Linked DNA regions of Neodiprion lecontei. The protein of the gene in region 2 interacts with the protein of the main gene of each other region in a pairwise test. Links are inferred from orthologs where the notes say so. Each region holds a gene or a part of one and is shown on either strand. Other genes may lie near its edges. The genes, in order: cyclin-H and golgin subfamily A member 2.

Region 1 (16,785 bases), on a different chromosome or scaffold from region 2:
CAAAGCTCGGAATATTCTATACAAGGCTGAGATTTCGCTACTTCTTGGCCCCCTCGTTTTGCTATCATCATCCTCGATCGTTTGAATCTGCAGTTGCAGTCCAACTCAAGTGAACTAAAATTTCGTGTAACGATTCATGGAGACTGGCTCACGAATTCTCACCTTGAACTTGATCCCATTGACATTCTTGCCGACTTCAAAAGACGAGGAGAAAAAAGAGCACGCAGTGACACGCCAGACACCAAAACGGACACATCAACATCCTATCATGGGTTTCGGCGGAGAATGAATGTACCGATAATTTTGAATTCTTACGAAACAAAGGTACGTTTGTAAGATCAGGAGTTGAAAGCACGATGAAACAGTCCAGAAACTATAATCAAATTCTCAGTTCCAATTTCCTTAATTCTTCTGCCCATGCATCTGAATCCATGTCCCGTCTGTCCGCGGCTGTGAAAAACGTGATATGATACCGGGGTGTGGTAGATGCTGCATGTTAAAAGCGTCGCTGTGAAAATCAGCCTCAAGATAAAACGGCAGCTCGCTCATTAGCAGCGTATAATCCGACCGGGACAACTCAAGGTCTGGTTCATCGCCGGGAGAGAGATTGCTCTGGATGAGTGTTATACTTAGGTGTACTCACGAAGAGAATAAATATCACGCTAGAGTGTCGGCGGAGTTGTATAAACAATTAAACGGCCCCTCCTTCGGGGCCGGGCAGCGTACGTCGCGAACGTAGGAAACGCAGAGTCCAGAACGCAGCGGGAATACGGAGATGGAGAAACTGCATGGAACACGAAGCACGAATACGCATGAACGCAGAAGGAGAACGCAGGAGGCAGGAGGCGTTCTCGTTCGAACGAGAAGGCTCGCGGCTAGGGCGGAAACGCTCGCAGCTATACGCACCGGGATATATTTTAACATCACGCTATACGGTATCGCGGGCATACGTACGTGCATACCTATATCGGGTATAAAACATTTATTTGTATAATTACATGGTAGCGCTGCAACCGCGGGAGCTGTTGCCCTGCGTGCCGGCCGAAAGATTCCGGAGATATTAAAAACTATGGAAGAGCTACTATGTGTGGATCCGGAGAGCTCGATCTTCCTTATCCAGGGGTGAAGATCGCAACGTGGATTGCCCACGGAATTCCGGCCTTCGCACCGAACCCATCACCCAAATACTCTCTGGAACTTTCATTCCGGATTAGCCCATCTTCGTTCGATATCCGCACCGATCAGAAATTCATTCGGCAGGTCCTACATTCCTCTAAGGATCAGTTCCTCGCCCGTCGGATGGTTTCCAGACATCGGCAGTTTCGACCAAGCGACGGCAAAAGTCATTCAACTAAACATCTCCCGCATTGATCTGCTTTATATATACGAAGCGGAAGCAGACAGAATTACATAGTTCGTAAAAACAGGGGATGCGAAATGTTCCCATTGGTCTTACGCTAATTTTTTTCACCTACGAGTTCCCGAGTTTTCGTCTTTGATGATGTGGTTTTGGGTAACTGTCTCGATTCAATGAAAAACGAAACCTGAAGCAATGTTGTCTTGACCGCAAATATTACACCAATCATGCGTTTTCTCAACCCATTGGATTCTCTGTAGTTCTTCTTTCGTCTGTTGTCCAGACGTTCTAGACGTTTACCTCCATACTTGGTTCGAACCTGGGTCAGGTTATTTCATACTATGAAGATTTCCGCGAGCGATATTCCTTATCTACCTCACGGGATCGTTAATTTGCTTACGTAATTCTAGAGCAACGGGGTTTTTGTGTCAGGGTTCTTGCAGTGCCAGGTGAAACAGAAACCAAATCGCACCTGCATTTTTCTAAACACACCTCTTCCTCGTGGGTTTGAATCCCTGGCTTTTCTTTGGAAAGGTAACACCGCGGCAGCGAATGGTCATGATCGGATTGCTGAAATAGCCATTCCCCGGTGCATTCACCATGTTCCATTATACCTTCAATAGCACAAAGTGTGACGAATACCGGTTAACTGATAAGACCGTAAATTGATCTCCATCGTGGAAAACGTCGTCCCTTTTGTCGCCAAAGAGTAGCGCAAGGACCGGATTGAAGAGCTCGGCGTCAGGACGTCGGGCCTGCCATCCGCGAAGGATCGAGTGCTTAAGGTTCCCCTCGACGCGGAGCGCCGCGATTGCCTTGGGCGTCGGTTGCAGCAGCGGGTCTAGCCACCGCTCTGTCCTCTGTAATTATATCGTATACGTACTACCCTCCGTTCTTCCTTGTTGCTCCTCGTGTATTTTGTTCGAAGCTGGTCCTGCCCCGGGCCAAAGATGCGCTCGGCAGTCTGCTTCGAAGGCCTTCGGAGAACGGGCGAGCTCCGATCTCGCCAACGTTCCTCAGGCCCTCCCATCATCGGACCAAAATGACTAACTGCACCTCGTACTAGTGTCCAAAGCTCCGTACAGAGCGATTCAAAATTTAATATTTTCAAACCAGCTATATACCTGTAACATACGGTGCTTCGTTCTTAGCTACATCATTCTTTCACCCGCGGTTGCAAATGCTTCGACTTGTCTTCACAAAAGCTCCCTTTGAATCTTACGAAAACGGGTTACGAAACCAAACTTACTATATCATGTCGAGTACAGATTAATAGGTTAAGACTCTTTTGCAAACTTAATGTAAGTGCACCAGTTATTGACCCTGTTCAAGTTATTGACCTTTTTTTGTTGTATCTGTTTGATCCTTAGATCTAAAATTATCAGAAAATAAATTTGTAGCGTCTAATCATCTAGCAATTGGTTTTAGTTATCGAAAAATTCATAACCTCTGCCACAAGTTTATAATTTTGGAAAAAAAACTGGTCAATAATTGGTTCTAAACGTATCAATAACTGGTACACTTACATTATACACAAAATAACGGTAACTGATGTTCGTAGAAAATATTTCTCCGTGTATGCAATTAATGCTCATTACGTTACACAAGATGAAGATGGCTTACAATTCTGCAAACATGTGCTTGTAAGAGTACGGCGTTACACCAAGGTCGTAAATAGTTTAGCACGTATGCAGCGTTGTCGTTTGTCAGATCCCGTGACGTCATTGCGGTGGGAGTTATCGCGAGGGAATAAACGTTTCCACCCGGTGATGTATGGAAGATACGCGCATGCATTAAACATGCCGGGTGTACCTGTAAATAAGTTTTTGCGAAACTTATATGGCTCGAAGAGAAGGCCCACTCGTGCGGGGAGGCTTATATGGATTACGGAGGAAGGCTTCACGCAGCCGCGGCGCTGATACAGTAAGTGGTGTTGTAAAATACTGCCGGTCAGCACGACAACTTTCGTTTAAGTGCCAAAACAGATTTTTAATTGTAGGTCAAGAGCCGCGGGTTAATAATTATTCTCAACTAAATAAAGTGGAATTATTCATCTATCCGATGGGACGACGGAAACCACGAAACGTTGATTTAAGATTAAACTGTACAGCCCGATCATATTTCAGAAAGATTAAGTCCAGCCTAGATTCTACCCGAGTGACAAACATTTCCCAGCATTTTCCTCAGCCGCCATACTACAAAGTCTTCGCACCGTCAACAGGCGCGAATTACTAACCTGATAAATATCGTAATCGAAAAAATGCCGGTAAATTAACCGCACCTTCTCAGTCTGATTAAAACATTTTTTTATGTACCTTGGGATCGATTAATCGAACACCGCTCCGCGACCTAACTACAGACCTTTTTCGTTCACCTATCAGCTTGGCCAAGGCTCATCAAACGCACACTCGTGGGGTATGTGATTTGCGACTGCCCAAAATTGTCCTAGATCAAATATCAATCGGCCACGACTCGGCCGGAACTGTACATACAGTGTGCCATAAAATGGACGATGGTTGATCGGCGACCAATTCATACGCATGTTACAGGATGCATGAAAGCTTCACCTAATCCATCTCCCTAGTTCCGAAAACGTGGTTTACCGAATGACGAGTGACATTCAACAAGAGGTGTTAGCGTACCTCGGTAAGCTGACCGCCACTCTCCACCTTGCACATTCTGCGAAAAAGAAAAACGCTTATGACACCATAATTGTGTAGTATCCTGTAGGAAAATTAAACTCTTCGAAATCGAAACGAGAAGGGAACAACGCAACGCCGATGCCGACACACACACCATCACGCGTCTTGGGCCGACTTCTTCAAATTCCGCAGGACAAGTCGAAGTGCGGTGGAGTGGCAGCTGGCGGCCATTAATCTAATATTGTGGTCGCCGACGCCCCCGCGAGTACACGCTCGCGTGCACAACCGGCCCTCGCGCCCTCTTCCTGCCTCTCCTTCACCCCCCGTTCGCCACATCCCTTAACCGACTTGCCACACACCATCGACTGTCGGGGGACGACGGCAAGCACGCGGAAAGGAAGCAACGCTAATGCGGAATCAATGCAGGGGCTGCCGACTGCTGATGAGGGATGATTAAGGGGCTGGGGGGAGATTAGGTGTTACGACCAAACTCGATTACTTTCACACCTCGAGGTCTTTGAAACACCAAATTTCAATAAGAGATCGCGATGCAGTCGAAAGTCTGATCTGCCCCTTCGATCCTGAAGCTTCAAGATATTCAAAAGCTTTACCCTCACGTTTCGGGTGACGAAACGTTCGACTGTACTGATTGCGCTGTTAAAAATTTTTGTATGGAACTGCCTGCGCTGTAATGAAAGTTCTGTAATTTCACCATATGTTTACAGTTTAATCAATTTACATATAAAATAAATTTACTACACAATTTAGTGAATTCGAATTACTTTCTTGTCTTTTTCATGTAAATTTTAGTAAAATGAAAAATTTTCCTTGTAAACTTAAGACAAACGCATAGTAATTTACGTTACTGCACCGAATTTGTAAATTTGTTGTCTAATTTCGTAAATTGACAATTCTTTTGTACAGTAAATGTCTAGTAAATTCACAATAATTTTCAACGGTATCTGACACATATCCCGTATTTTGTCGCATCGAATGAAATTTTGCACAGTAAATGTAAATCATAATTACATTTGAGCATCGTGATTCCGAGAAACATGCAAGTTTTCAAGAAAAACTTGCTACCTGGAAAGTAATTTCTGCAGAACCGTTTCAAAGGCCATCGAAGAGGGCGTTGTGCCTGTGTCTAGGACTATCGATCGAGCACTAGAATTGAACTTCTTTGGCAGAAGCACCGTCATTAGCTTCCATCAGGGAAAGAATAATTCCAATCGTGGCCAAGGTGCACGCCAAAGGTGCATCAGTTGGATTTAGCGTGAGGCGCCGCAGCCGTTGATTGTTAAGCCGGCGTCGGCCGAGGCGGAGTTTCTGACTTGCCGTCGGTAATGCTTTCGAATCTCGAGCTACACCGTTAACAGCTAACCACTATAAAACTGAGCTCGATCATTTTTCTTTCTTGGAATCTCCCGAGTCGAAGAAACGCTTCAAATAATTCATAATTTATACAGTATCGAGTATGATTTTTATTACGTTGAAGCTCTGCGACGTTGTCGATTTGACCGTGAGAAAATTACAGAATTCGACCGATATATAATATGTCGCGATATTGCTGCAGTCAGCCTCTAATGTCTAATGTTAGACTTCACGCACAGCCTGACGGACCATTCGACATCCTTGCAACTATTACACGTGGGCATTTACGAGTTTAAAGCAGCAGGTAAACTCCGACGAGTAAAAGGTCTGTATCCGACAATCAGATTGAGATTCGTTCGGCTGCGATAAGATCACAACAACCGTGACTAACGAAAGGTGCCAAGACCGCCTTCCGCAGAAGAGCGTTTTGAGATTGGCGATTCGCGATTTGGGAATGGGAGGCGTGCATATGGATTGAAATTTACTTTGCAAAACTCGGCTCGTTACGCGAATGAATTTTTATTATTCCCCCGGAAGTCGGATGACCCCGATGAGTTCTTGAAGGTTTCCCCAACTGTCGATACTAATTAAGACGGGGTTGGGATGTAACACCTGCCGACAGGGTCAAATGTGATACAAACACAATTCGAGCTTACAACCAGTAATCAAGCGGTGACTTGCAATTCATAATCGCTTTAGTCGATTATACGACATGATATCAGCCGCCGTAAATTCGTCAGTCATACTTTCATAAAAAGAAAAGGTCAACGAGGTCAATTATTGCGAGACGAACAAGTAGCATTTAATATCAAACATGAATATTATTTATGCAATACCGCGAAAAGATAAATCGCAATTTGAACACTCTTCTTAAGACTCTCATCGTGAGTATAGTCGTTAATTACACATCGAGTCGTTTTTAGTACATAATAGAAGTCATATTCGTTAATTAAGACGATAGTGACGACTTTGCTCAAAATTGCAGACAATAGGCAACGCAACGTATAGCGATTGTTTACCCGAAAACAGCCTTCGACTTATAACATGGGACATTTAATGCGACATATTAAAAACTGCTTTATTACAACTTTTGCTCGATGAATTAGGCCTAATTTATATACCATGACATCCACCTGCGGGATAATTCAGCTCATTTCGAGAACTTGAAATCCAACAACGCGCGAAATATATCGTTCTACCAACGGAATATTAATTATACTCTACATGTATGAAGTATCGCATAACGATATCAGTGTTCATGATTGTGATTAATTTATTCCCGTAATATTCCCTAACTTCTCGATATACTCGGAATCCAAGGATTTTTATAACCGACTGCACTGCAGAGTAGCGAGCTCTATCCGTAGCTTCGTGAAGTCTTTGAAGCAACACCAATTGACCAGCTTTATATGAAACACCTGCAGGAACGCTACTATACCGATACAAATTAAACACTTTGTGTCATTTGTATAAGCTATTGGAGATTTCCCTGAACATTAATATCAAAAAGATGATAAGTTTCTTCCATCGAAATTTAAATGTTCCTGTACCGATTCATGATTTGTTCGCACATTTTCTTTGCTCAACCCAATAAGTAGTTTCAATTCGATCGGTGGTGTATTAAAGGTTTTCTTTCATATAGCTATCCATTCGCTATTTTTTAAACTATTTAGTTTTATTCAGGCGATAGTAATTTCATTTGTAACTTTATTCGCATGTATTATAAAGTTTTAATAATAAGAAAATTTCAAATCCTCCCGCGCCTCCGCAGCGTTATCTAGTACAGAAATACATTGGCTGAAGTATATTCTTTCAATATAAAACAATATATATTTCAGATATACAACGCATATGCGTTGACTGAAGACTATCAGTCAACGGCATATGCCAAACCTGGCAGCGTGATGACAGTACCCGGCGTATTCAAGTTTACCGCCAAGCCCCAGCGGCCATTGCTGATTGCTGAAACCACGAAGTAGCTGAAACTGACCAGTGAGCAGGAGTCTCATTTGACGCCATTGCTCAGTGAGCACTAGTGAGCAGCGCAACAGGAAGCGGTAGGAAGGCATTGGAGGACAAAGACGTTCGTCGCAGGGTATCTGATTAGGGAGTCTTTTACGGTGCGATTCAGCTGCTCACGCGATATTAAATATATTGAAAATGTTTCCAATGAGCTCTCAAAAGATGTACTGGATATTCAGTGATGAAAATGACATCACGGAACTTCGCGAGAAGACTAACTCGGAATTCATCGAGAAGCATGGCGTGAACGTGCCGGTGAGTGTTTATTCCAGTTTATTCTATCTCCCAATCGATATATCTATAGCTATAACCCAAAAAGCGTGTTTTGTCAATTCGAAAGAAATTACTCGACAAAAGCCAGTTCATACAAAGTTATGGATAATTATATCAGCTTCGAACAGCGTGCGTTTTAACATTTGATTCACCAATCGAAAATATTCCATCTTTCGCAAGCAAATCTCCGTACTCTCTAATCGTCTTTTATTTTGACATACGTATCAATTACGTGATGAACATTCCGCGCGATTGCAAAGCAATTACGGTGTTACCCGGTGGATAAATTTATTTGAGAATTTTAATTATACACAACGTGTACTGGAGAACACGCTATTTTGAATCTTTGATCGTACATAAATGCTCACGCAGTTTGTTGATTAAATACCTATAAACTTGGGGACGCCAAATAATGGCGGTAAAAATGTCTTCACCGTTTGTGGGAAGAAGACTGATATTTATACGGACATAAAAATTCTTGCCTAATATTCGATCGGCATGCTCTGTGTAAATGTTGTCCCATACATTTGCGTTTCCGTCAAGGAGTAATACTTTGTCTTTGAAAAATGGTTCGTTCTTTCCACTCGTACAGCGCGATCAAAGAGAGGAGCATTTCCTAACGACTTCGGAAGAACGGATATTACTCAAATTCTATGAATTACAACTCCGAGACTTCTGTCGCAGATTTGTTCCGCCCATGCCAAGACCTACCGTAGCAACTGCGCTTCACTACTTCAAGAGGTTCTATTTAAGGAACAGCGTTATGGATTACCATCCTAAGGAAATCCTTGTCACGTGCGTCTACCTTGGCTGCAAGGCAAGTATTTGTAATATGAATACAATTTAACATACTTGCAGAGATGACTTGCAATTAACTTTTTTTTATTGCGATGAACAAAACTTCAACTGTTTCCAGATTTTATTATTTTTTCAATTCTCTTTCTTAGGTAGAAGAATTCAATGTCTCAATATCCCAGTTCGTAGCGAATATCAAAGGAGACAGAGAAAAGGCATCAGACATCATTTTAAACAACGAATTGTTACTCATGCAGCAGCTCAACTATAACCTGACTGTCCATAATCCTTTCAGGCCTGTAGAGGGCTTGATGATCGATATAAAGGTGAGTGTAGCTTACGAAGGGAATCTACTTATTTTCCAAGCTGCAGAATCATTGGCTGAAATTTTTATCTCTTATTTTGTAAATTTCTCTTGACAATTCAGTTTTAACTTAAGCCCTTATTTCTGCTATTCATGGTTCACTCATCAAGATCATATCGAGCCTTTTGTAATTTTCTATTAATTTTTCCTGTGTTTTTAGACCAGATGCACATCACTTGAAAATCCAGAGAAGCTCAGACCGCATATCGACGATTTTCTTGAAAGAGTGTTTCTCACAGATAGTATTCTGATTTACGCTCCGAGTCAAATTGCTTTGGCTGCCACCTTGCACGCAGCGTCGAGAGCTGCTGCTAATCTAGACAATTACGTAACAGACACACTGTTCTCGAGGGAACATTTGCCAGGAATCATCGAGGCTGTTAGAAGTAAGTCGATCATAATCGTTTTTGGGGATGTTTCATCATCTTCGTCATTTTTCTTCTGACACATTATCACCGATTGTAACTATGTCATATTAAATTTTCAGAAATAAGATCAATGGCCAAGTGTGTTGAGCCTCCAACAAGAGAAGTGGTCCGGTCTCTCGAGAAGAAACTGGACAAGTGCCGAAATCAAGCGAATAATCCAGACAGTGAAATGTAAGCCTTGCATTCACGAATTTTTGCCAAACATTTTTTCCGCACGTAAGGCTGGTCTTCAAATTCAAGTACCAAATGCCAGTTCGAAACATCTAATTGTGCTACTTAAGTTATTACATTTTACTTCTTCACTTAACTGTGTACCTTTACTTAACTTTTTCAGTTACAAACAAAGAATGCAGGACATGCTGGACGAGGATGATTTACGGGATAATGAAAAATACGCAAAAATCATTCAAGACCAAGCAGAGCATGACGAGAAAGTATTGGGCGTGAGTAAATCTCTATCTCCATCGGCGTTGTAGCATCGAAAGGTTTGCCACTAAATTTCTCAAAAGACTTCAACTTACGAAAATAAGTAATCTTTAAGCACAGGGCGTAGAGGACTGTGTGATATTTCACACTTATCATCGTTTCATATTCAGTCAGTTGCACTAGCATATCTTGCTTCTTTTGTGCTACATCTTGTTTTCATTTCTTTGAAATTACGAAAAGTGATCTACAAAATTTGAGTATTCACTGCAAATCCTGATTGAACCCATATGATTCAATTGTATTCGACAGTGTCACTCATAATGTTCAAGACAACAGTTTAACATTTTCCACCCCATGTTTTAATCATTTTGGGTGTCTAGCGACATGATAAAGTTGATAATTCTCTAAAACTTGTAAAATGAATCTAGTTTCTTGAATTTTGTACTATTAACTTTCTTTTACAACTAGACTCTGAAGGTAAAATTCTGCTATATAAATAAAAACTAGCGAAGCTCTCAATAAAGTCTATATTTCATAACATATACAATACTTAAAAGCAATGAACACCACTTTATTTTTGTAGATGAAAATAGTGTTTTTGAAAATTGAAATCCTTGAAGAATTATAAACTGTATCACAACTGGATATCCCCTTAATTTCAATTTTGAAGTAGACTCAGGCAGCAATAAAACTTTATTCCTAACTTAACCGTAATGGCCACTTTATTGACCTGCAAAGGCCGACAAAAGTAGCTTATCATTCCCTCTTGTACTTTTCTCCGCAAATTTTTTTTTTTTTTTGTTCCCTTGTTTTTCCCTTAAATGCGGTTTCAACTTTTAAAGTCAATAAAGTTGCGACAGTCAAGTCCGGAATAAAGTCCTATATGCAATACGGCTATAAAGACTATTATTTCTTTATCACATAATGTGCTATTAAAGACAGTAAAATAAAAAAAACTAGAAACAAAATAGAATAATTGTTTCTCAGTTACTGTCAAAAATTGTGCATCTCTAACGACTACAATCTCGGGGCGTAGTACATAGGTATTCATTTTGTAATTATAAGCTTCCAATATCTCCAGTACCTTATAAAATATGTTCGTACCCAAAGCAATGATTTTTCACTAAATCGTAAACTAATGTAAATCAGCTGGCCGAAACGCGTGTATGGGGCATTCCACGTCAAGTCAGCCACCTCCAGGCCTCACTACCTTTGATTTCATTCTTCTAGGATTTTGTTATACCATGCGAAAGTGGTGTCTCTGATTTATTTAAAAATTTTCGGAGCCTCCGTTCCGGAGTTCTTGCAAGCCTAAATTTTACGATATTCAAAAATTTACGAACTTTTAATCGATGATACCTCCAAATTGAACAATCGTATCAAAAACAGTAAGGTGGTGTTTCGATTCGTCTTGAATTCAAGTGTTTGAAAAAAAAATGTTTTGCAGATATTTTCCGCGACGTTTAAGCTGTCGTAACTGATGTTCAAATAAAAAAATCAAAATTCCATCAAGTATATTATTTTTGAAAATTTTGAAACATTTTTTTTTCGGTTGACGAAGTTGACGTGGAATGCCCCATATACAAACTAATGGATAACAAATATGCGAATTATTCGGAGTACCTTAGGTAGAGGAAAACAATGTTCAATTTACGTTGTCCTAATGAATCAGTTAATTGGAATCTGAGTATCCGGTGCAATCGGCGTACAAAACTATTTACTTGATTGCTTTATCTGCTTGAAGATTTCTCAAATAACACTGTAAAATTTAACGCTACGCTACAACACCCGTGTTTTGCTTATCATCCAATTACTACATTTTTATTTCAAATGTGTAATCAACACCTGAAGTTTCCAATTTAGAAAATCGAAACCTAAGTCCACCGTGGCTTTTGGTACTGAAACAGCCACAAAGATTACATAACCACGTATCTCCTTAGTTCGCAGTTGAAATGATAGGGTGGCGACAGACTGGGAAACCCGGGAATAGTCAGGGAATTTCGTATATTGGAAAAAGACCGGGAAAAATCAAAGAATTATGATGGACTATAAAGAAAAACGTACTTTTTCTATAAATCGTTTTCAAACTTCAGCTGAGCTTCGTAAATTCAGTTAAGCTAACCGTCTAAAATGGTATCGTTCAATTTCTAAGTATTTGTGTGAAACTAAGCAATACTATGTGCTTTTTAGATCCAAATTTATATATTCAAGGTGCGGAACTTCTGGAGCTTTTCGTCATAAAAGCTGCTCCACATTACCTATGTTTTGTGGAAAAACGTTAGAGAATTCTGCATTTTTTAACCCTAGACGGGGCAACCTAATTTTTATACTTTCTACGGGGTAACTGGGGCATCGGAGTACCCCAAGCGTTTCCAAACAATACAAGCCTTTCTAGTTCCAATAAGATAGGTTTATTATGCATCATTTTCGTCGTTTTTTAATCAGAAACACGAAGGTATATATTAAAATCCCTTTCCTTTGAGATGAAAACGAGAAGAACTTGTTTAAAGCAAAAAAAAAAAAGGGCGGTGAAGAGCTAAAAATGACTTTTTTCAGTCAAAATAGTCTCATTCTTTTTCTAATTAACCGATTTCCAAAACTCCAACGGGATTTGAAAGGGAGTACACTGAGCCTTGAGATGAAATGGTGTATCGATTCATTTTTTTCAAAAAGTATAATTATTTATTTATCCGAAAACTGAAAATAACAAAAAGCCGTAAATGGGTGAAGTCAATGAAAAATTACATATTGCATCTTTTTTTCAACTTTGAATGAATTTTTTATTCAACAAATAATTTTTATAAATATAGAAAATAACCATCGAGGCTTAATGGTATACCGATCGGTTTATAGTGGCACAAATTTCACAAAAGATTGAACTGTGCTCGTCACAGACAGGTCGGTTACAGTTTTCGTAGAAAGTTTTTACTTTTCGGTCGGCTGGTCGTGGACAAATGGCACGTCTTACTTTTTATCCAGCCCGAGGTTTATCATTTCCATCCCCCTCTGAGTCCGAATCGTACATCATTTCTACATAATCTTCCTCTTCGTCATCTTCCGACAGCATATCAACAGCCAACTCTGTTTTTTCCGAAAGCGCCTCACTGGCCGATTTAGTCCTTGGTGTGAACACTGAATCTTTTAGGGAAGTTTTTGGAGTTTTATAGGCTTTGAAAAAATCTGAAAAAATTCTGGGTTAGGTACTTCTTGAAGTGTCTACTACATGGCCCAGAAGTTGTTTAACCCTAGGACCCTAGACTATCTGTATGAAACAAATACTCTACATACGGGTTACGCGCACCCCAGAACTTGAAGTCACCGTTGCTAGAGGACTGTTTGTCGTAGAGAGTTTTTTTCTTTTCCAATTGAACGCTGAAAGACTGAATAATGGAATAGGATATGCGACAAAAACCTATTATGACATTTTCGTCTTAAAAAATGCGATTGAATAAAGTAAGAAAAATGATTTCAGCTTTGTAGGAAATAATATATAAGATAACGAAGCTATCTTTCGAATAAGTTATAATGTCAATCGTATTAAATGTATATTGTAATATTCAATGGAATACTTCTTAAAATTCTACGTTAAATGTGTGAATACAAGTATATTGAAGCTTTGCAACCGCGTAAGTGTAGTAATGCTCGATATGCACGGTATTCAATCGATGTGAACTCTCCGAGGCGTCGTCACGTAATGCCCCTTTGACACCCGCTTTCTAGACCCACCGCATTCGATTCGTCACCCGTCTAATCTCAATGTCTATGTTCTGGCTCTCGAAATATTATCGGCTTCCCTGCCTCACCGCCGTGGTCCATACCAAGACGTTGACTTCATTCGGCCTTCCTAGATTTTACGACGTCCTCGTCGTAGCTTCGTCCACCTGTCAATCTGAAAATAAACGTCCACCACACGAAATTATCAAAATTTCCGTATATAGCAAGACAATAGGCGGGTGCGGCGTTCACTCCGAAATCAGAGTGATCAAGTCCGATCCAAGAGTTTCAGCCACCTCTCGTCATTGTCTAAATACATTTGGGCTACTATCATTCGCCCCACAAGGTTACTATCATTCGCCTGTTTCGATTACTATCATTCATCGAAATTCCAACGTGGCCTTACCAGTACTATGCCGTAGCATCAAAAATGACCCACGGACTCAGCTGATCCACTGCCACTACCGTTCGTTGCCCTGGCGTCTTCTTCATGTCCCTGAGGTCCTCGACCTCGTACCGGTCATTTGGTAAGACCGCCCTGACCTTGAACGGCCCCTTGGCCTTAGCATTCAGCTTCCGGCTCTCGCCCGTGGCAGGCGCAGCGCTGGATTTCCACATGACAACGTCGCCGACCGCGTGCCGGGGAAGTTTAAACCTTTTCGCATCAAACGCTCTTTTCTGCCTCCCTTGCTCTACAGCGATGTTGTCCTTTGCCATCTTCCGCAACTCTTCCAAGTCCACCTGATCCAAGGTCTCCTGAATTGCAGATATCAACACCGCATCGGCGATACTGCGAGGTTTGAATCCATACAGCAGTCTTCATGGCGTACTTCGCGTACTTCGGTTCGTGGTATTATTTATGGCACTCTGAACCTTCTTTACGGGCTGCTTGTTTTCCAGCCCAGTGCCGGCGTTAGAGGGACTGATACCCTGGGCAAGAATATTTTGGCGCCCACTTAAGGAAATCAAAATCGAGAGTTAATTTTTTTCTGAACCAATGTGAACGTGTATTAAGAATTCTATCTTTCCTTTAGCGTGACCCAGAGCTAACGACGTGGACGTAGAAAGTTATGTAGCTCCTCTTTGTTTTTTTCATATTTTTTATTGTTTTTTTTGTTTTTTTTTTCATTTTTTTTTTTGTTGATTTTCTTTTTTTGTTATCCAAAATTTGTTTTTGCATGAATTTAATGCACATTTTATATTTTAATTACTCTTCATTTTGATTTAATACTTTGTTAATTTTTGAATAACTTTCTTCCTTTTTTTTGTACTGTTCTTTAGTAAAATTTTACTTTTCGGGCCTTTTTGTCAGCAAATACACGAATTAAACTAGAAAAATCCAATTGTTCAACGATTTCATTTTCAATCGACAGAGTAGCCAAGTTAGAGAGTCTCGATTGAGAGGTTGTTGATCGGAGATACGTTTTTATTAATTTTAGTTTAGAAAAACTGCGTTCTCCACTTGCAACTGTAACCGGAATCGTTGCAAAAATCCGGAATGCAATCCATACATTTGAATAAAGTTCTTGAATATTCCGCTGTCGTATAAAGTTGAAACTTGACTTTCAAAGTACCTTTGCTGATATAATGAGAGACGAATTATATTCCTCTGCGATTTGTCTCCACGCCTCTTCTTTATCTTTAAGCGTTGATGTATCGCTTTTTTTGTTCTCTATTAGATATGTGCGAAAATTTCTTCAAAATGTTGAGGAACAGACGCTTCTCAGTTTCCGTATAGTGTTTTTTTCCGGACATGTTTATACCCCTACGAAGAAACATTTTAACCATAAAATGCTTTTATCTCGAAATTTTATTATTAAATAATCACGTTAGAAAATTAATATATATTTAAATTATCACATTGCTTTCATCATGATAGAAAAAATTATAATTTACCCATAATTGAATACTTACAGTTGACAAATGTTGGGTAGATAGAAAAACGTTTTTCTTGGATGACGATTTTTGGCTTAATTTATTGACTCTTGTATGAAACTGTAAAAATAACTTAGCCCACGTGACTTCGAGGGAAAAAATCCCGCGAAAAGTTAATTCTTGTTTGTGCCACTGGCGTGACAAGTGATTTCCACAGATATTCTGATTGGCCAATACAGCGGAAAAATCACGGAAGTAGCCGAATGGCACTTGAGAACTTCTCAAGCAATTGCTCGAATAAGTCATTCTTAAGCAAATTCTGGACCCATTTACTTAATAAAGCAAATCTTATTCTCTGACTGTGAATTCATGCAGTCTTCAGATCAGCTTATATGAATAAGCAAGTCTTATCCAAGTCAAGCTTAAGATCTTTCTCAAGACTCGACTGTGAATACGGCCCTTAGCTATCCCCATCATCCACCGCGCGTTCCAGTTTGGTGGGGGGTGGGGGAAGTATCCCACCTCCACCAATCGCCCCCCAAAATTTGGCGCCCTGGGCCATCGCCCCATCGCGCCCCCCCCCCCCCCCCCCCCCCTAACGCCGGCACTGATCGTCAAAGAACATAGAGTACACTTGGCTTTGTGCTTATTGCTTGGATCAGGGCTAAGCCATGTCCTGAAATCACTCTCATTTGTCCAAACGTTTCGAAATTTTTGGGGACGTCGCGTGTCAATTCTAACCTTCTTCCGGGGGGGCGTACTGGGACTATTATCTTCAATCCTATCCCTATCCATTACGATACGCGTGCGTACTTACATTTAACCTTCAGTATTTGTCGAATATATAAACTTTTCACAGTCACCACAAAAAGTTTTATTCCGCAATTTTTTTAATAATCGTTCGTGGATTACTTTTGGATGTATATTTTCTATTTCTGAATTAAAAAAATTTCGAAAAATGTCTTCAGAGTCATTTTCTTCTTCTACATGGAAGGTTGGAATAGCATCAATATCCTCAACTTCACATGATGAAGATTCAATATTTTCATACGTTAATGCATTCTGTAGAGTTTCAAGATTCTGATCTGATGAAATGTAATCGAGCTCAGCTTGCGACCTAACTTCATTCGGTTCAATGATTGAGTCATTATTCATTTCTTCTGGCTTCTTAAAGATCAATTCACTTAAATTTATGAAATTTTCATTTAAGTGATCTTCGCTATTCTGATGATTTTGTTGTAATTGTAAGGTCGAGTATCTACTGAGTAGGAGAGTTTTAAAAACTGATTCAAAATGAGCGCAACATAAGTTATCATTGTCTCCTTGGTGATGCCTGATTAAGCCAAAAAAATGCGCTAAAAGAAAAACTGTTTTCAGAAGGGACAACAATAGAAATAAATATAAAGAAATTTTATACAATGTTTATTGGTACTTAAAGTTTATAAAAAAATGTATTTTAATTTTTCTTTACAAAAATTAGTACATAAAATATCACGTGACCCAAAGTACAATGAAAAA
Region 2 (17,483 bases):
TCTCATCTCCAAAGAGATATTCATCGTCTAATATGTCAGCCTCGAGCTCAGCTACCTTATCTTCCTTTCGTTTCTCTAAATACTTCCTCCGCGATTCGACGCGAAGTTTAGGAATAAGCTTATCACGAGATTGAGTTTCCATAACCTTAAGTCTCTTGGCTGCTTCCGCTGCAAATTTGATAATATTAAGTGTATGAATGTCACCACTAAGTGATTGTATAAAGCTGATAAAACAACTTAGGACATTTTGCCTAAACTTACCAGCCCCGGATCCAGCTGGTGTAGCAACCTTGCGCACCTTCGTATCATCTTTGGACTTGAGACGTTTGGCAAATTCATCCCTTTCCTTAATATCCCTTTTGCGCCTCTCCTCTTCGCTGTCACTGTCACTGTCTTCTGGCGACGATTGCTTCCTCCTATACTTGCTCATTTTCTGTTTCTAAAATCCTCAACGACTCATCTAGGCTAAGTCCTGAATTATATCACAACGGTTAGTAACTGAAATGAAGGTTGAAGCAGATTATTAAATTTCGATGTTATCGCTGGACAACAGATGAATACTCACTAACAGTTCTGGTAAATGTATGAAAACTGTTTAACGTGCGTATTTTACGGGACCGGGAATGATAATACGATTGTTAAACAACAAACCACGATACAAAAAAACCTGACCACTAATTTGAAATAGTTTGAAATCAGCCATAAAAATCGTGTTTGAGATGCACACACATTCGGGTAAATAAGTTTGCCTTTTGGAACGGTCGAGGAAAACAATAATAATCATAATAAAGTCACAATATAAAAATTGAATAACCCGGGTACATTTTAAAATTACACAATGAAAGTGATGTGTATAACAAATTAGAAAAAGTGCTCAAATCTTAAAAATATCAATTTAGTAATGGATGATATTCAGAAAAATGACAAAAGGACTGAAAATTTTTATTCCGACGCTGCCAACTACTGGTCTAAAGTCCCAGCCACAGAGGATGGAATGTTAGGAGGATTTGGGTTCATTTCGAACACAGATATCGAAGGGTCGGAATTATTTCTAAGATCAGCCTTCAAGGTACGGTATTCAGTCAAATTTACACAAAATTGTGTTTCATAAATATTTTATTGATGCTCGCCACATTGATGCCGAGATACCTAGGAACGTAACCTCAAAATTCAAACCCACATGTGCTTTCGTATAATTTTGGAATCCATCTGAAGGCTGATTCCAAAAATATATTTTGATCTATATTCTGTGATTTCCATATAACGCACGTTTCAGTTAAAAAATCCTCCGAGAAAAGAATATGCTTTAGACTGTGGTTCTGGGATTGGCAGAATATCAAAACATCTACTTACCAAACACTTCAAAAAAGTTGATTTGGTTGAGCAAAATTCCGAGTTTCTAGAAGCAGCAAAAACTTACCTCGCTGGTCGTACAAAAAGAGTTGGGGAATTTTTTCCCATAGGTATGAAAGTAAAAGCCTGAGAATCTTAAATAATTTACATATAATACATGTAATACTTTACAGGATATTACTCTTACAGGTCTGCAAAACTTTTGTCCTGAAGTAGGGAAGTATGATGTCATATGGTGTCAATGGGTTTTAGGACATCTACAAGATAACGATTTTATAAAATTTTTCAGCCACTGTCAGTTAGTAACATTTGCTATTCATATTTTGTTTCAGTATTGTAATTTACAGTGGAAATGAGAATTTACCGTATAATTTACAATGTAAAATAGTAATCTGTAACTTTGTAAAATATATTCAACAGGGCAGGACTCAAAGAGAATGGCGTGGTAATAGTAAAAGAAAATATAACAAGTTCTGAAAACGTTGAAGTTGATACACAGGATTCCTCAGTAACACGCCCACTGAAGGAATTACAACGTTTATTCGATCTGGCTGGATTTTCTTCTGTAAAGGAACAAAAACAATCCAGACTTCCACGAGGTCTTTATCCTGTTTATATGTTCATATTACGACCTAGAAAAATCATACGGAATTCTGTGAGCAATGTACTACAGTAGAAATAAATAGTTCACAATTATCACATAGATCAGTTTAATTCCGACATTGCACACAACAATAAATATATATATATGATGATTGTTAATATTTAATTCTTTGATATGAATGAAATTGTAAAGAAAAACAAGAAAGACCACTTGAAAACCATACACAAGAATAATTTTTAAAAATTTTAACACTTTTTAATTCAATAAAGTTTATACTCAACTGGTTTAATTTTTTCAGATACAAAGTGTCGATTCACTAAATAAAAATATTTCAATACTCTTAAATTTACCATAGTTTAATTTCATTTTGGTCTGATTTTTTCATACATGAAGTGTTGATTCGCTTCCTGCGGCGTTGAGTTTATAACACGCTTTTTTACTGCGTGAAAATGAGCCAAAACATGCATGTATAAATCATTCTCCATCTGCCATACTTGCGAATTTTGAATTTTCTTCACAGTTTCTGGGAGAGGGTCAATTTTTTGGGTAGTTTGTCGTAAGTGGGACTTGCTATCTGAAAAAATTAATTGATTTGAGATTTTTTTAAATTATCACAAACTGTAGTTGCGTTATATTGTAAAGACATTGCCAGTGGATAAAAGTAGTAGACTAGAAAAATTATTAAAAATTTGATTGAATTTTAAAACATGCTATGCTTTACTATTATCAATCCTTAATATCTAACACGTGTCTTACTATGCATAAAGTGATCATAGGCTCCTTTGAAAAATCGTGGTAGTGTAGCCTGAAGAGTTTGTACAAATTCTGGTAATTCTTCTGTGACTCCAACTAGGAGGTAGTGTTTTTCTACATTTCTTTTAGCTTCTGCAACTGCCCATGGATTACCGACTTCCCTTTAATCAATTAAATCATTACATTCAACTAAATATACGTTTGTGATTATAAAAGATAAGAAATTGCACAATAATTCTCAGTCAATTGATTTCCAAGCATATTAAGTGTAAAAACTTCATACCAACAAGCAGGTTCGTGTCCACAGAGGAACGGAACTTGAAGCCACATATTGTTTGGATCACAGTCAGGTTGTCCATGTCTGACGCACTCGTCGAATGTCTGTAAGATGTAAGGTATGTTATCTTCACAAAGGATAATCTTACAAGGAAGAAAGAAGCGGAATATGCTAATTGATAATACCTTGGTGTCGCCATGCTTTTTTCTTATTAAGTGTGGTCGGAAATTATCTCCATATCTTAGAAAGTAGTAATAAGATACGAATCTGTCCAAAGGTTTTCGTAATAAATTTATATACAACGGTGTACGCTTAACTCCGAATCTGAAAATAATCAATTAAGTCGTTGAATATATTGAATTTCTCTCAAAGTTCTCACATACTTACAAAGATACTCACTTTTCAAAGTTTAAAAAAGCTACGTGACCATGATAAAAAGCTGGTTTCATTGCATCCCATTGAGTAATATTATTTACAAATTGTACCTGAAAGATAAGTCTATTATCGTAAACGCTATTTTAATTCCTTCAAATATATGCATTCAATACCGAAACATTTGAACTTCTGTTAAATAAAACAATGCATTTCAGTTTTGTGCACGTGATTCTATACCAGTATATTAGAGGTCAAACACTGTGCACAAAATTTTGGATGTTTGGATTGTTTCAATCAAAATTAGCACATTTATCTGTCAACTCCTGGGGCAATAGATGGTTTCTTAGTAAATACCTGATTTGGAAGAGTAAGTGTATGCATGTTGTTGGTGACATTGATGTGTAAGGAATGATACTTGTTTTGTTTGCATAGATCATATACTATGCCCACAAAACTTGTGGAGCCTGTCTTTGGTACTCTGTTGTATATCACGACCACATCATCGACACTTGATAATGGGCTGTCCTCAGTGTGACTAAGCGATTCGATGTTGTTTCGCTTTTCCATCTGAGCCAATGCATTTTCTGAAATTAACAGAATCAGGTTGAACGTTGTTTGACTATAATTTTCTATGCATCTGTGATATAACATAAAGTTGTATCACATTTGATTAATGATAAATTAGTAAAAATACTTACGCAGGATTTTAGTACTTTCTTCAAGGTAACTGATTCTTATTTTGAAATATAGAATTAAGAGTATTAATACTATCACGAAAAACCACTGTACTGGAAATGTTCTCACTATCATTTTAAACGAAAATATTGCAACAAGGTTAGGCGACAAGCGAACGATGCAAGCATCGCGCTGTCAGCGATGAAAATAAAGCGCTGTCACACACACTTATGCATAGCTCAGCAGCCTAGCTGTTCTCCCCTCTCCTGGCCCCACTCCATGGGTAGAGAGACAGAGAGGATGGGAGAATTATTATCTTCTGTCCTTTAAGAACCGATTCAAATCCGTTCACAGGTCGCTTACGCCGTTGCTTACGCTCTATTTTGGCCGTGTTCGTAAATTGACTGACAGTACTCAAAATTCCCTAGGACAGAGTCAGAGCTATTCACGAACTTGGAAGCGCAAAAGAGATAAAAGATTGCTGACCGTACTGTCAGTCAATTTTCGAACACGTCTTTTATATATCTCTGTGGTCTCAATGGCCGAGTGAAAACACCACGTAAGCTATACGCAACACGATCAAATGCTTTAGAGGATTGCCGTAATATAGGACGTCAGGCGAATTTTGAATTTTACGACCACTTACGGAGCTAATGCTAGTCCTCAGATCTCTACAATAAATAACTACTCACAGTTAGTCTCGGTGACGGCGCGCTCTGTGGGAGATATAATTAACTACTCTTAAGTCAGCATCGTTAACGTAAAGTCGGTATAAAGTTTTGTAATTTAACAGATGCTTTATGAAAGAATATTTTTCGAATTTGAAAAATTTCTAAGCCAAACTAACTCATATGTTAAGAATATTTGTCTTGTCAATTTTTTGAATTTTGTTAACTTGACATATGGCTTTATACGAAAGAACACAAAAGTGTTGATGCATACGGCCACTGAATTGAAATCCTTGACTTCCTGTAGCTAAAATCCAGGTTCCGGTCACGAATCCCTCTTTCTTCAAGCCAAACAGCAGCAAGATGGTTTGTGGATTTCTTACTGCGGTTATCCGTATTTATCCAAAGAATCCATTTTCATACATAATTTTACAAATAAAATACACAAATTCAGGTTAATTTTACGTATTGCCGGTCTGTAAAATCATACCCATAATCTAGACTTGCTTCTTTCTTTTAACCTGAATAAAACATTATTACATTGGCGGTTTCCATGTGGAATTGTTGTTTAGGTGTTCTAAGCGTGACGTTATGTGAGTGTTCTATTGATATTTCAGGGTAAGGTCAAGTGCTCCGAGCTGAGGAGGAAAGACAAGAAGGAGTTGCTCAAACAGCTCGATGAGCTCAAAACTGAATTGACGAATTTGAGAGTTGCCAAAGTGACAGGAGGTGCCGCTTCCAAACTCTCAAAAATGTAAGCTGTTCTAACCCCTTATAGTTTAATCTTTCGCTCTGAATCACTTATGTTATATTTATGTGATAAGTAGTAGCCGGTTTACTGTTATTGTCAAATGTAATGAATGACTAAAGCTGCCTAATTTACAATGAATTTCTCTTTACCTTCAGTCGCGTCGTTCGCAAAGCTATTGCTCGTGTGTACATTGTTATGCACCAGTATCAAAAGGAGAATTTACGACGCTTGTTCAAGAATAAGAAGTACAAGCCCTTAGACTTGAGGCCAAAGAAGACCAGAGCAATTCGCAGGGCCTTGACTCCTTACCAGGCGAGTCGTAAGACTCTGAAAGAAATTCGCAAGCGATCTGCATTCCCCATCAGGAAATATGCCGTGAAAGCTTAAACACAGTTCAATTTCTTACTCAAAAAATTAAAACAAAATTTATCAATAAAACTATTCTATGGTAGTTTATTTAACTTGTGTATATCTCATTTCAATTCCTTTCCTTTGTAAATTTATTCATCAACAAGACCAGCGGCTATTTTTAATGCTCACATTTACTTGCAACCCGTTTATGTTAAATAATCAAAATATTAATGAACTTTTTGTTGTTGAAAGCCTAGAAATAATTATATATGAGAGTAAATTTAAAAAAAATTTAATTCATAACTTTTAGTCTGCCGATAAGTTGGCAAACAAGCAAGTTAGTGAACAAAGGAAAACTGAAAAGAAAGTACTACATTGTATAAATTTATGAAATACTTCAACATTTTATGTACAATTTTGACATGTTCTGTTTAGGAATATGTTTATAGTAATCATAATAATTGAGAGTTGAATAATTTTAAGGCAATATAAGTTAATGACTGGTTTTAAGGTTAAATTGTAATCAAGTTTCCTGAACACCATGGGCATGGATGGAAGTTAGGTTCCAAGGCACACGTATCCTTGCATTCTTTAATTTCCGTCAGAAGATCAAGAATTTGAGACGTAGTTTTATCTTTGACTGCAACTACTTCCGATTGACAGGATGTCTTGTTTTCCACGTGTTTGCTTGCTTCTAGACCATCTTCTAGAAGACACATGTTAAAAATGAAACAATGTATAAAAAAAAAAAAAAAATTCGAGAAAACCAACAAACATTTAGAATCCGTAATCGAAATAGCAATGTGGACTGAATACAGGAATTAATATATACCGTTTGTACTATCCGATAATGCAGATGTAGTGGTAGACGTAGTTTTCTCTTTAATTAATTCAGCTACAAGCATTTTGAGTTTATGCAGCTGTTCCTGTTGTGTGTTTCGTTGTTCTGTCAACTGGCGGAATGCTTCCTCCTTTTCTTTAGCCCTTTCTTGAAGGACACCACGCTGCTTTTGATACAATGTAACATATTCGCCTGAAAGAGATGTTTAATTATACATCCTGGTTTTATTACACCTGAAATATAACGGTTCAGTGTGGCTACGCTAACCTATAGTTTCGGTTTCACTTTGAAGCTGCAAAACGAGATGTTCCAATCTTTGTTTTTCGTCTGAGAGTTCAGCAACACGTTCCATAGTATGTTTAAATCGTTCCTCCAACTTTTTCACAGCTTCGGGCGAAACTGACATCATTGCTTGTTGTTCGCTAATTGGCGGGGCCGTGTCACCAATACTATACGACTCATTGTCAGTCTGTGTTGTTGCTGTTGATAATTTTAGTTTTTCCACGTCATTCAATGCTTGCAAGTTACACTCACCATTGGGCTGTATAATGTTTTGATTTTGAACGGTTGAATCATTCAACATCGTCCCAGCATTCAATTCGCTGATCAATTGTTGATTTTCTTTCATTAAAACTTCGATCCGTTCCTAAATTCCAATGTTTGTATTGGTAACAAATTGATTTTGTATACAAGCACATTTCATGGTTCCAATTAGTCACATTTACCTGCGCATTGTGAAGTTCTTGCTGCAAGGTACTAGCCTGATTAGACTGAGCTTGATAGTGTTGCATTTGATCTGCAATTTGAGCCATGTGTAATTTTTCTTTCTCTAACTCAGCCATGAGTAAATCCTTTTCCTGCATTTCATCTTTCAATTTCTGTACTTCATTTTCAGTGTCATTCAACCGAGCATTCAATTTTCTTCCAATCGACCTCTCTCCTTGTAACTGCTCCGTCAAATCAAGTTTTGTGTTGCTCTATAGTGAAAAAATTGTTTTCACAAACTGTGCTTCTTTGACAATGTACTAAATAATTATTCTAAATTAACTTACAAGTTGTACGAAAGCATCTTGCATTTCACTCAACTGCTGTTTCAACTGTTGATTTTGAGAGACAGCCCGAGCTGCCGCTAATCTTTCACCTTCTAGAGCAGAGACTAAACGGGACGCCTCAGCATTGCTTGCACGCATTTCTTGCAACTCTTCCATTTCTTGCTTGAGTGCATCGATATCTGAATCCTAGATGGAAGAAAACAAAGTAAAATATTCAATTTCATTCTAGAGGACTATTGTAGTTCAGCCAGAAAGTTAAATCACCTTTTCATGAAGTGTTGCTCGAAGACTATCCCGTTCTAAAGTGAGTTGATCAATATTTTTGACTAACTCATCAATTCGCTCTTTATTGTCATTGATAACAGGAGGTGTAGATTCAGGTATTTCTTTCTGACTTTGTATTTGGCGTTCTAGATCGGACAACCGTTGAATAAGGCTGTGCTCTCGACTACTTATTTCTGCATTCTCCTTTGTAGTTTGCTCGAGCTAAAAAATAATTAATAAATGAATAAGATGCAACAGAAAAATATTTGCAGTAATCAGCGTTGCAATTTAAATATAATTTAAGAACAGCAATCAAAATTGCAAATTCGTGTTGGCTTACCTTCAGAGCAAGAGTGGTAACTTGGTTGTTCAGTTGTTGAACATAATTTTGGTAATGGTTACTAGCTTCGTCACGTTCACTACTGACAGCTTTAAGAGTTTCCATTAATTGGCTCAACTGCTGTTCCAGTGCGGCTACTACATGGTGTTGCTCACTGATACCTTGGGTTTCTTGTGTCGTAGAAGTCATCTGTAATTAGGTATTAGATTGGAATATGGCATGCTGGACACTTAATTTCCACTACATTTTCGGGTCAATTTTAGGTCTGATCATAGAGTTCCGAATAGAGATTATAATAAACTGTAAGTACCTGTTGTATTCGGAGTTCATTCAAGGACAGTAAGGCAGTTTTTTCTTTCAATTCTTGTTGAATGTTAGTTAACTCAGTATTTTTAACATTTAATTTCTGCCTTAATTCAGCGGTCTCTAATTCCAAGTCGTCTTTTTCTTGTCTTAGAATATAAAAACGTCCAATAAAGATCCAATGATATGTCATAAAAGACTAATAATGAGGGCCCATGACTGCGCAAACTTACTTCACTTGAGAATACTTCGCCTCTAAAGAGTAGAAGCTAGATTGAAGCTGGTTATTCACTTTTCCGACATCTTCGCTACTATTTTTCACAGAATTCAGTTCCCTTTCTAAATCAGAGACTTGGAGTTGGACCGATTTTAATTTTCCATTTAATTCTTCGACTTCAGCTGATAAAAAGTAATTGATTATCAATCTGTTATACTGTATAAAATTTTTACTTTTAGCGTGTAATACCAAGTCTATATTAACAAAATATAAGTAATTTTACCAATTTTTTGCTTGGTAGTTGTTTGACTTTGAACGAGGGCAGCAGTAAGCTCAGCTTTTTCTCCTACAAGAATGCCAGTTGTTTGTGCATGAAGTTGTAATTGCTCTTTGAGTGGATTCAATTCGTGATAAAGCTTTGCTTCAAATTCTGTATCCTTTGTAGTCATTATCATTTCTAGTTCTGACACTCTCGTCCTCTGTGAATATAAAAAAAATTCATTGAAATTGTATAATTTTTTAATATGAAGATTTTAGCTGGTCAATTGGTCTGAACCAATGATTTCACCAAACTTACATATTGGCTGACTTCAAGATGTAATCGGTTAACAAGTTCTTTTTGTTCTTGCAAGCAGAATGCCAAGAATTGATTTCTCTTTTCCAAATCAGAGGTAAGTTCTTGTGGCACGTCTTTACTCTCCATATCACTTGACAATATGTTTGTGACGGCAGATGTCATCTGTAGTAGATATTCTTTCTGCAACGCCTGAGATCCGACCAATGATTCATACTCAGTATGTAAACCACTGCGATTATTAGTTGACTCTGCATGAGCATTTACATTGTGTGTCTCGTTTTTTAATAAAATGTCTTGCTCTAAATCAATTTCATCTGTTTTATTCGTTATATTTTGAGAGGTAAAATAATTCTCAACATTAATCAGATTGTCATTAATTTGATGTTTATTAGAAACATCATCTGTCAGATTTGTGAAATTAGATATAATACTGGAACCTTCCGACAGTTTTTCTTGAACAGTGAAATCAACAGTGTCTTGAAAAACGCTAGTAGGATTTGAAGAATTCACCAGCTTTGTAGCAGCAGAAGTGATATCACCATTGGAATTGAATTCCAAAAAATCATGCGATTCTGAAGTTTGCTGAGGGGCTTCAGAAACTTGGCTGTCTATTGATGGTGTTTGAGTCTCTTTTATTGGGGACCCTATTTTCCGGTAGTTGTAATTATTATCAGAGTTATAAAGAGTATTGTCGATCTGTACAAACATAAAGTAAACCCCATGTTAATGGTTAGAGATCAAACTTTTTAATGAAGGTATTACCTTCGTTCAGATTAAATAAGGACAACGGAAATTCTCTTCACCTGTGACGGAGTAGATTCTTCTGTATTTTCGTTTACATCTTTTGAAGTATCATCTGCCATGTGACTTCTTTTACTCATTTGGAATTCCTTGAGCTATGATACAGAAATATCCATTATAGTATGTGATACTAATTCATGTGAGTTGTGTGTGTACATTACAATTTTCGATTTTGAAAATATTACACAAAGTAATTACAACGAACATTTGATTAGAAATTATCGGTAATGAATAATAGCGAAAAGTTCGCAGAAAAGATAACTATATTTTCTCTGCTCTCACCCTTTTTCTGGCTGCTAATAGTTTTTCAGATTTTTTCATTTTTGAGGGTTCGTTTTTGACCTGTACGAAGAGCAAACAGTGTACTTGGTGCAGAATCCACGCGCAATATTTATTCTATTAATTATTTACAATACATAGAGCAAAATATTACAATATGACAGAACATTGTGAGGTTACGCTCTACGTGCCACTTCACCACTCACACACATTGTCCTGATATGCAGGTGTATTAAGTCATTTGTGTTTGTGCACCATAGCTAATAGAGATGGACTACTACCTCACAGTGAGCCTTGATTAAAAAGAGAAAGCTATGGCAGAGAGGAAGATCCTCTCTACCTATGAGGACGATGACGTTGACGAAAACGAGAAACACGATACGAAATGCGGAGCATAAAAGGCAGCACTGCTGTTTCGCTAATGGTTTAGTTTAGAATCTTATGGCAAATTCAACTTCACAAGTGCGTTTACGTGTGGTTTCACTGGTTTTCTTGCCTGTTTATTGGATGAATTCTAGGAAATTTGGACTCGGTGCACACTTTTTCTGTAGTTGAATTCGCACTACAGAAATTCCCTACTGTTACCGACTCAGAGAATGAGACCACTGCTTGGTAATTCTATCTCTTTCTTTTTGTCGTTGATTACGAATTCTCAAGTCAACGTTTCCATATAGGTATGTACACTTAATGGTTAAACTAGAACAATTGCATATGAATTTTTCATCCTATTTCTACGTCGAATTGTTGTTTCAAATCAAGTAATTGATTGTGTCGACATGAAACCTACTGTTGTGGCCGATGAAATGTTCCCCGAAGGCGCTGGTCCATATATGGATCTTGAAGAGGTTCCGTTAAACATTCTAAAACATAAATTACATACGTTCAAATCGTAAACCATCGTGCCAAAGCTGTCAAACGTGACTTAATTTCTGGGCTGACGATCACTTAGATTGTATATCTGCATTGCATTGATTTAGAATTGCTCGTCACTGACCAATACCCTCACACCGTCAGCCAGACAAACAAGATCAAATTGCTCGGTAGTAAAAAAAATTGTATACTCTGCAAGTTATTGATGTTTTTTTTTTTTCATTATTTAGGCTGGTGGATCCAGTGGATTGTTGATGGATCTTGCTGCTAATGAAAAAGCGGTGCATGCTGACTTTTTCAATGGTAAGAATTTGTTTTGTATCAAATAATGATGAAGATATATTTTACTCTGTGCCAAAAAGGTTTATTCTTTTATAAAAGCGCTGCAGGAAATGTGCATTGATAAAAACACTATATTTATTTTAGATTTCGATGATTTGTTCGATGATGAGGATCTGAACTGATGAACACTGTGATCAACAAAGGTCTTAAATTCTTTCAAACTTGATAAGTTCGAGTAATACCGATATAATGATTTGTGTTACAAAAAATGAAACACTCAATGCTGAATAAACTGTTCTTATAAAAATATTTGTTTCATCATTGTTAGATAACTCTGTTGAATATTCATTTCACTTCGCGAGAATTATTATGAACTTAATGAAGCAAAATATCACGAACTGCTTTACAACTCAGATTTTAGGATGCTGTGACAATCTGAGCAATGTATCTATATAGCACACACATGTTAACCAGAAGTAGCTAATAATAGAAAGAACCTAGTTAACTAAAGATGAAACTAATTTGTTTAAATGGCATTGAAAACTATTTACATCTAGCCAGAATATAATGCCTCATATATCAATTGAAAATTAAAAATTGCATTAGCCTAAATAATGGCAAAAATTCAGACAAGCTTAAGTATAGCATGAACATAGTAATTTAATAACGACCAATTAATATAAATGAGAGGTCCAAATTTATTTACAATCATTCAATTAATCCAGCTATTTGTGAAATGTTGTAATAATTATTGTGTACAAGATACACTTTTCTGACATATGTCCGAAGATGCTGCTTTACAGACCCTATCCTCATGATACATATTCAGTATCAGATCAGTTACTGTCAGTAACACATGTTTGTAGGTAGCTGACCTCTAAAATCATTTACAAACCTAATCATAGATTGCAATTATTATATATTATTCAAAAATATTTTTTCGATCCAAAAACAAAATTCGCATTGAGCCATGTTAAACATTTACAAGATGCTCATTAATGGAACGAAGAGTTGAAATATTTCGGAAATAAGAGAAATTACGTAAATACCTATTTCTAAATAATCGTATCACACTTAATCCTGTTAATAATAACAATTTCTAAACTGAAGAATATTAATTATTAATAAGTAGCTAATGATTACTTTGTATTACTGGAACTGCAACATAAATTCCTATTTTGGGTAAAAGACTAATTCAATAAAATACGCAAAATCGATACAGCAGTATGCATAAAATAAATTTCTACAAGTAATCTTTTAAAGTTCAATGAATTTTCCATATCAAGTGAATTAAATATGTTTTCTAACGGAAAAAATTGCGCTCAAATAAAAATTTGGCATTCTATATCCGGAATAGTAAAGTTACGCAGAAATAATAAAAATGTATTAAAAACTTGAATTGAAGAAAAAAAAAATATACAGTCACTTGTAATAATTTTACAATTTATTCACTTCAAATTAGTTAGACCTCTCTCTGTATTCCTTTGCTATATTGCGTCCTGCTGTGAACCACAGATATCATAAACGTGCCATAAGAAAATGAGTGGTATAGATATATTTTATACATGTAATAATATTAATGTAAGATTATAATTGTGTTATTTATAGTACATACATTCTAAAGTGTCTAAATTCACGACACGACGCATGATTAAAATAGCACCGAATTTCAGTCCCTGTGCACGTCGGTTAGCTAACTCGTCGCTTTCGTATCCGAGCAATAACAATCAAAGTGGCATGAAATACGATTTACGGACGTTTACGCATTAGTCTTATGCTATTCCATAAAAGAAAGAAAGTGACATGTACCCTACTCGCTGTTATTAGTTCATTACACTTCTCAACCTGCAACACAATATACCTTCCAGTAATATAAAATTTAATTTCAGCTGTTTTGAAACATGAATGTAATTCTGGAGTCTTCCTACAGCCAAAATAGATTGTTTCGGCAATGTTAAGATGTATTCCTTGATATTGTCTCGATTATTTCGTCAGCAAAAATTAGCCAACCAAGTAAGGTATGAGACTCCATTTCAGTGAGAAGGCATGAAAATTCAATCACTGTATAATCAATCCGTTGCATCCAACGATTTCGGCAACGTGGCGCAATAATAATACAAAGCACCTGGTGATGCAAAGTGTTTCTATAAAAATGATTTTACGTTTGTGTAATTCAAACGACACCGCAAGCCCAATTTCGTGGTTACCAAATATGTTAAGAGGATGATGAATGGATATGCTAGTTAGCCTCAAGATCACTGTCGACTTGATCGTCCTGGTCGCTTTCTTCTTCTTCATCTTCTTCCTCAGAGAAAAACTGGGAAGGTGGAGACAAAGGATCTTCCGAGAGAGAGGTACGAGAAGAAGAAGGTGGCCGAGATCCAGATTCCTCTAATTTTATTTCCAGTTCATCCATCGATGTACTCGGCCCAGGAATTGTAACAGGAATGAATCTTTCCAAATCCCCAGAGGCCAATTCTATGGATATTAGTTGATAATATTAGATTTATGCCACAGCACCTTTACCTTAAAATAAAATCAAGTGTAACTAGAGCTACTTACGCTCAACGTATTTTTCAAGGGACTTTGGTACCATAGTTTTTGCTTTCCGTAAATCGTCATCAGTACATTCTCCTTTCTCAAGGCCTGAAGCAAATGTACATTTGTACCGAGATTTTCGTGCAAATTTATCAATATTTGGAACAAAGTATTAAATTAGTATTTACCAAAGGCTAAACCCATTCTTTTCAGAACTTCAATGTCATCATGGATCTCAAACTTATCATTAAAATTAAACAGGTACTCGGTTCTGAAAGTAATACAAATATTATAAGAAGCATTACTCGTAGATACGTGTAAAATATGCAAATCGAACTTTCCTATAAATTATAAACATGAACTAATTTTGTGTAAAAAAATACTACATGAAAAAGAAAGACTGACACTTACTTGTCGTTTGAAATACTGCAATCAATAACAGTTTTCTTACTGGTATTAACTATTATGAATGGCAACTGTATAGCAGAATTAGGTTTAGGTGGTCCATGAAAATTCTCGTTTTTATGGTTGCGTTCAACTAAATTTTTGTACGATATGTGCTGCAAAATTAACGAATGCAGCTGCTGAGTTTTGGCTTTGATTCTCTCTATTTTCTTTTTCTTATCTTTTTCTAACGACAAACACTCTTGCAACGAATTTGTGGGCAAACCCAACCATCTTATCTCCTTCTTCTCCTTGGAGATTATATTCATTGCCATCAATACATTCAATGCATCGTATACACGTCTCCTAATATTTTTCTGATCGTACTGCTGCAAAAGAGATATTAATCCTGAGTGAAATTGGAATTGAATAAGCAAATTTTGACACTCATTGGCAAGACTGAGATCATTTCTCTATGTACTTTTGCACCTAAGATCAAACTTTGAAGCACTATCTGTGAGTTGCCTGAAAAGACAACAAGGTTCCAAATATCAACGATAAAAGATATTTACCTGATCAGTTAACGAATTTATGTGCGCAGGGTTGGTGAATTCGCCAACTAATTCATCAGCAACTTCATTATATGATGTCGTACCTTTCTTTTTCACTTTTTCACAGACTTTCATAGAGAAATGGCGAAGCCCCTTTCCAACTTTTTCTGTTTTTCTCCGTTTGCTGTAAATTTAATACAGATCTATTAATCTGGAAAACGAACCCTTTCCCGATTTCAGACACATACTTTGATATGCATCCTATGCTTAAAAGTTGTCGCTGCTTTAAGATAAATAAGTCAGATAATATCAGTGACATGTGTTTGCACATTGCAAATTGAAATCAATGATTCATGTTTTATTTAAAGATAAGTTTCTAAACTGTCCTCTGTTTTGAACTTTTTGAAAGATTCGTGAATTTATTGTGCTACTTGACGATCAATAGTTCTATGATATTTCATCGTGATATGTATTTCAAAACCAAACGTGTGCATCATTCAATATTCAGAGATAAACCCCGTCAGGAAAAGGTTCAGTTTTTTATTAAGAATAGTCCAAGCTCACTACTCTGGGGTAAAATCGCTGCTCTCGACATCCTGTCGTTTCCTCGAACCACTGTGATCCAAAATGGGGCTGATGAAAGTCTTTCCAGATTGATCTTTGACAATCTGCTGTTGATTGCTGGCCTGTTGTTGAGGCTGGGATACCAACGCTTGTTTAAAATCATTCTGTTGAATGGAAAGATTTGAATAAAAAAATTAAATCATAACACAAAATCCAATCAAGCTTATCAGAGGCCATTCAAAAAATACATCAACTTTGTTTAATGGATTCATTTACTTTAATCCCCCTGAATTGATATTTAACAAATCCACTTCTGATAGTTTTTAGATACTGAAAATACAAACTCTCATTTCAATAGAAACTTTTTAACAAAATGATAAAAATTAATATAATATATAATATTACCACACTAGTAGAGCTAACGTTAATAAAATCAACCTGGGCTGCAGATGATTAAAAATCTACCTACAGTAACTGAACATTATGTTCATCTGCACCCCCACCAGTGTGCTTTATGCTACTACCACATAATCCAGGATCCCCCAGGAAAAGCTAATGTCTTTTTTGAATAGCTCCTGATTCATATTTTCCCAATGCTCATGATGTTGTAACCTACCATTCGAGCAGTTGTAAGTTGTATTGTTTTTGTCACTACAGATTCCCCAGCTTTTACAGATGACATTTTTGCACTTTGTACAGGGATGGTAACTAAGCCTAATAGAAAAATATTTTGTTACATGAGAAATGTGAACTTTCTGATAACTGAAAAGACAGATATATAGATGGGTCCTATAGAAACAAACATATTTTGACAGTCCAGATAGAAAGGCCGTATTTCACTGGGTAACCTAAAACGGATCTATCTTAAAAGATGCTAAAAGTTGTGTATAGAGCTCTGTATGGACATGCTGTAACACTTTTTAAGTTACATCCATTCTAGATTGCGCGGCAAAATATAAGTGTTCTATCCGACCCATCGAAATACTTCTGTTTTCATAGGATCCGTCAATATGTACTGCAAGAAACTAGGTAAGAATCTGTAATACTCACGCTGACCAGGTGTTGAAGAACCTTGCAAACTGATGGTTCTCAGTACTTGTGTCCCACTGGACAAGACCTGAGTGTGCAAACAGTAATGGTCATAATATCATCACAATGAACCCAGGGTGCCCACTCACTAAGTGATTCAATATCCCCCGAATTGCTACACATTTAACTGACCACTGGGCACCCTGTAAATACAAAGTTGAAGCTAGAAGCTGGAAGCTTACACTAGCAGGCGGGGATAATTCTGCGTATCATCTATTGAATCCCTTGATTAAAAAATGTACAAGATAGCACACGTCAGAAATACTATATGTTGTGAGACAGTTTGAATTTTTGTTTTGAGAACTCCTGTTTGTGGCCATTGGGTTAAATTGTGATATGAATCAGCTCATCCGAATAGGTCTATAAATATGAGCTTCAGTGTCATCTTAGAAAGCTTTATGAACCATACTCAGTAGTCATACAAATGGGAACCGTAAAAAATATTCAAGATGGGAGTGCAGAATAATATGGATTGTACTCATTGTATAACATAATTAAAATATGTTTGCAAACCTGTTGAATATTGGTAGAGCAATTTTTCAATATATGGTAATTATTAGAAAAATGATACAAATGTTGCGAGTCTGATTATATATTTTAAATGATATTTACTTGGGTATCTTGGCCAGGTGTCTTGAATACCTTCAAACTCCCGGAATTTGTGGTGCTAACAAGCCCAGTTAGTGCTTTATTCGGCGTGCTCGGAACCACTTTAATAACTTGT

The links.
Region 1: the proteins of golgin subfamily A member 2 (region 2) and cyclin-H interact in binary tests that used the Homo sapiens proteins (3 or more experiments, as listed by UniProt). The link is inferred for Neodiprion lecontei from reciprocal best matches to the Homo sapiens genes GOLGA2 and CCNH.

What each region holds. Positions count from the first base shown.
Region 1 is NC_060263.1:34,013,927-34,030,711, reverse strand, and holds the start of cyclin-H, read left to right. Parts: upstream 1-7,415; 5' UTR 7,416-7,530; coding exon 7,531-7,647; intron 7,648-8,257; coding exon 8,258-8,482; intron 8,483-8,612; coding exon 8,613-8,786; intron 8,787-8,984; coding exon 8,985-9,210; intron 9,211-9,311; coding exon 9,312-9,423; intron 9,424-9,586; coding exon 9,587-9,728; 3' UTR 9,729-9,737; exon of another isoform or gene 9,738-12,388; intron 12,389-16,785. UniProt on the Homo sapiens protein: Regulates CDK7, the catalytic subunit of the CDK-activating kinase (CAK) enzymatic complex. CAK activates the cyclin-associated kinases CDK1, CDK2, CDK4 and CDK6 by threonine phosphorylation.
Region 2 is NC_060261.1:34,109,484-34,126,966, reverse strand, and holds golgin subfamily A member 2, read right to left. Parts: upstream 10,932-17,483; 5' UTR 10,524-10,931; coding exon 10,485-10,523; intron 10,298-10,484; coding exon 10,205-10,297; intron 10,098-10,204; coding exon 9,402-10,097; intron 9,304-9,401; coding exon 9,108-9,303; intron 9,007-9,107; coding exon 8,841-9,006; intron 8,757-8,840; coding exon 8,615-8,756; intron 8,500-8,614; coding exon 8,305-8,499; intron 8,187-8,304; coding exon 7,965-8,186; intron 7,887-7,964; coding exon 7,701-7,886; intron 7,626-7,700; coding exon 7,374-7,625; intron 7,295-7,373; coding exon 6,916-7,294; intron 6,841-6,915; coding exon 6,640-6,840; intron 6,514-6,639; coding exon 6,320-6,513; 3' UTR 5,985-6,319; downstream 1-5,984. Other genes in the region: probable pre-mRNA-splicing factor ATP-dependent RNA helicase mog-4, read right to left, coding at 1-168, 262-430; N-terminal Xaa-Pro-Lys N-methyltransferase 1, read left to right, coding at 902-1,069, 1,277-1,463, 1,543-1,651, 1,774-2,029; heparin sulfate O-sulfotransferase, read right to left, coding at 2,320-2,531, 2,714-2,871, 2,994-3,091, 3,173-3,311, 3,387-3,472, 3,717-3,946, 4,061-4,172; 60S ribosomal protein L35, read left to right, coding at 5,069-5,071, 5,323-5,459, 5,612-5,843; COP9 signalosome complex subunit 9, read left to right, coding at 11,258-11,326, 11,582-11,654, 11,778-11,815; transcription factor Dp-1, read right to left, coding at 13,873-14,111, 14,196-14,279, 14,360-14,442, 14,583-14,944, 15,128-15,290, 15,671-15,834, 16,287-16,384, 16,721-16,787 and 1 more. UniProt on the Homo sapiens protein: Peripheral membrane component of the cis-Golgi stack that acts as a membrane skeleton that maintains the structure of the Golgi apparatus, and as a vesicle thether that facilitates vesicle fusion to the Golgi membrane.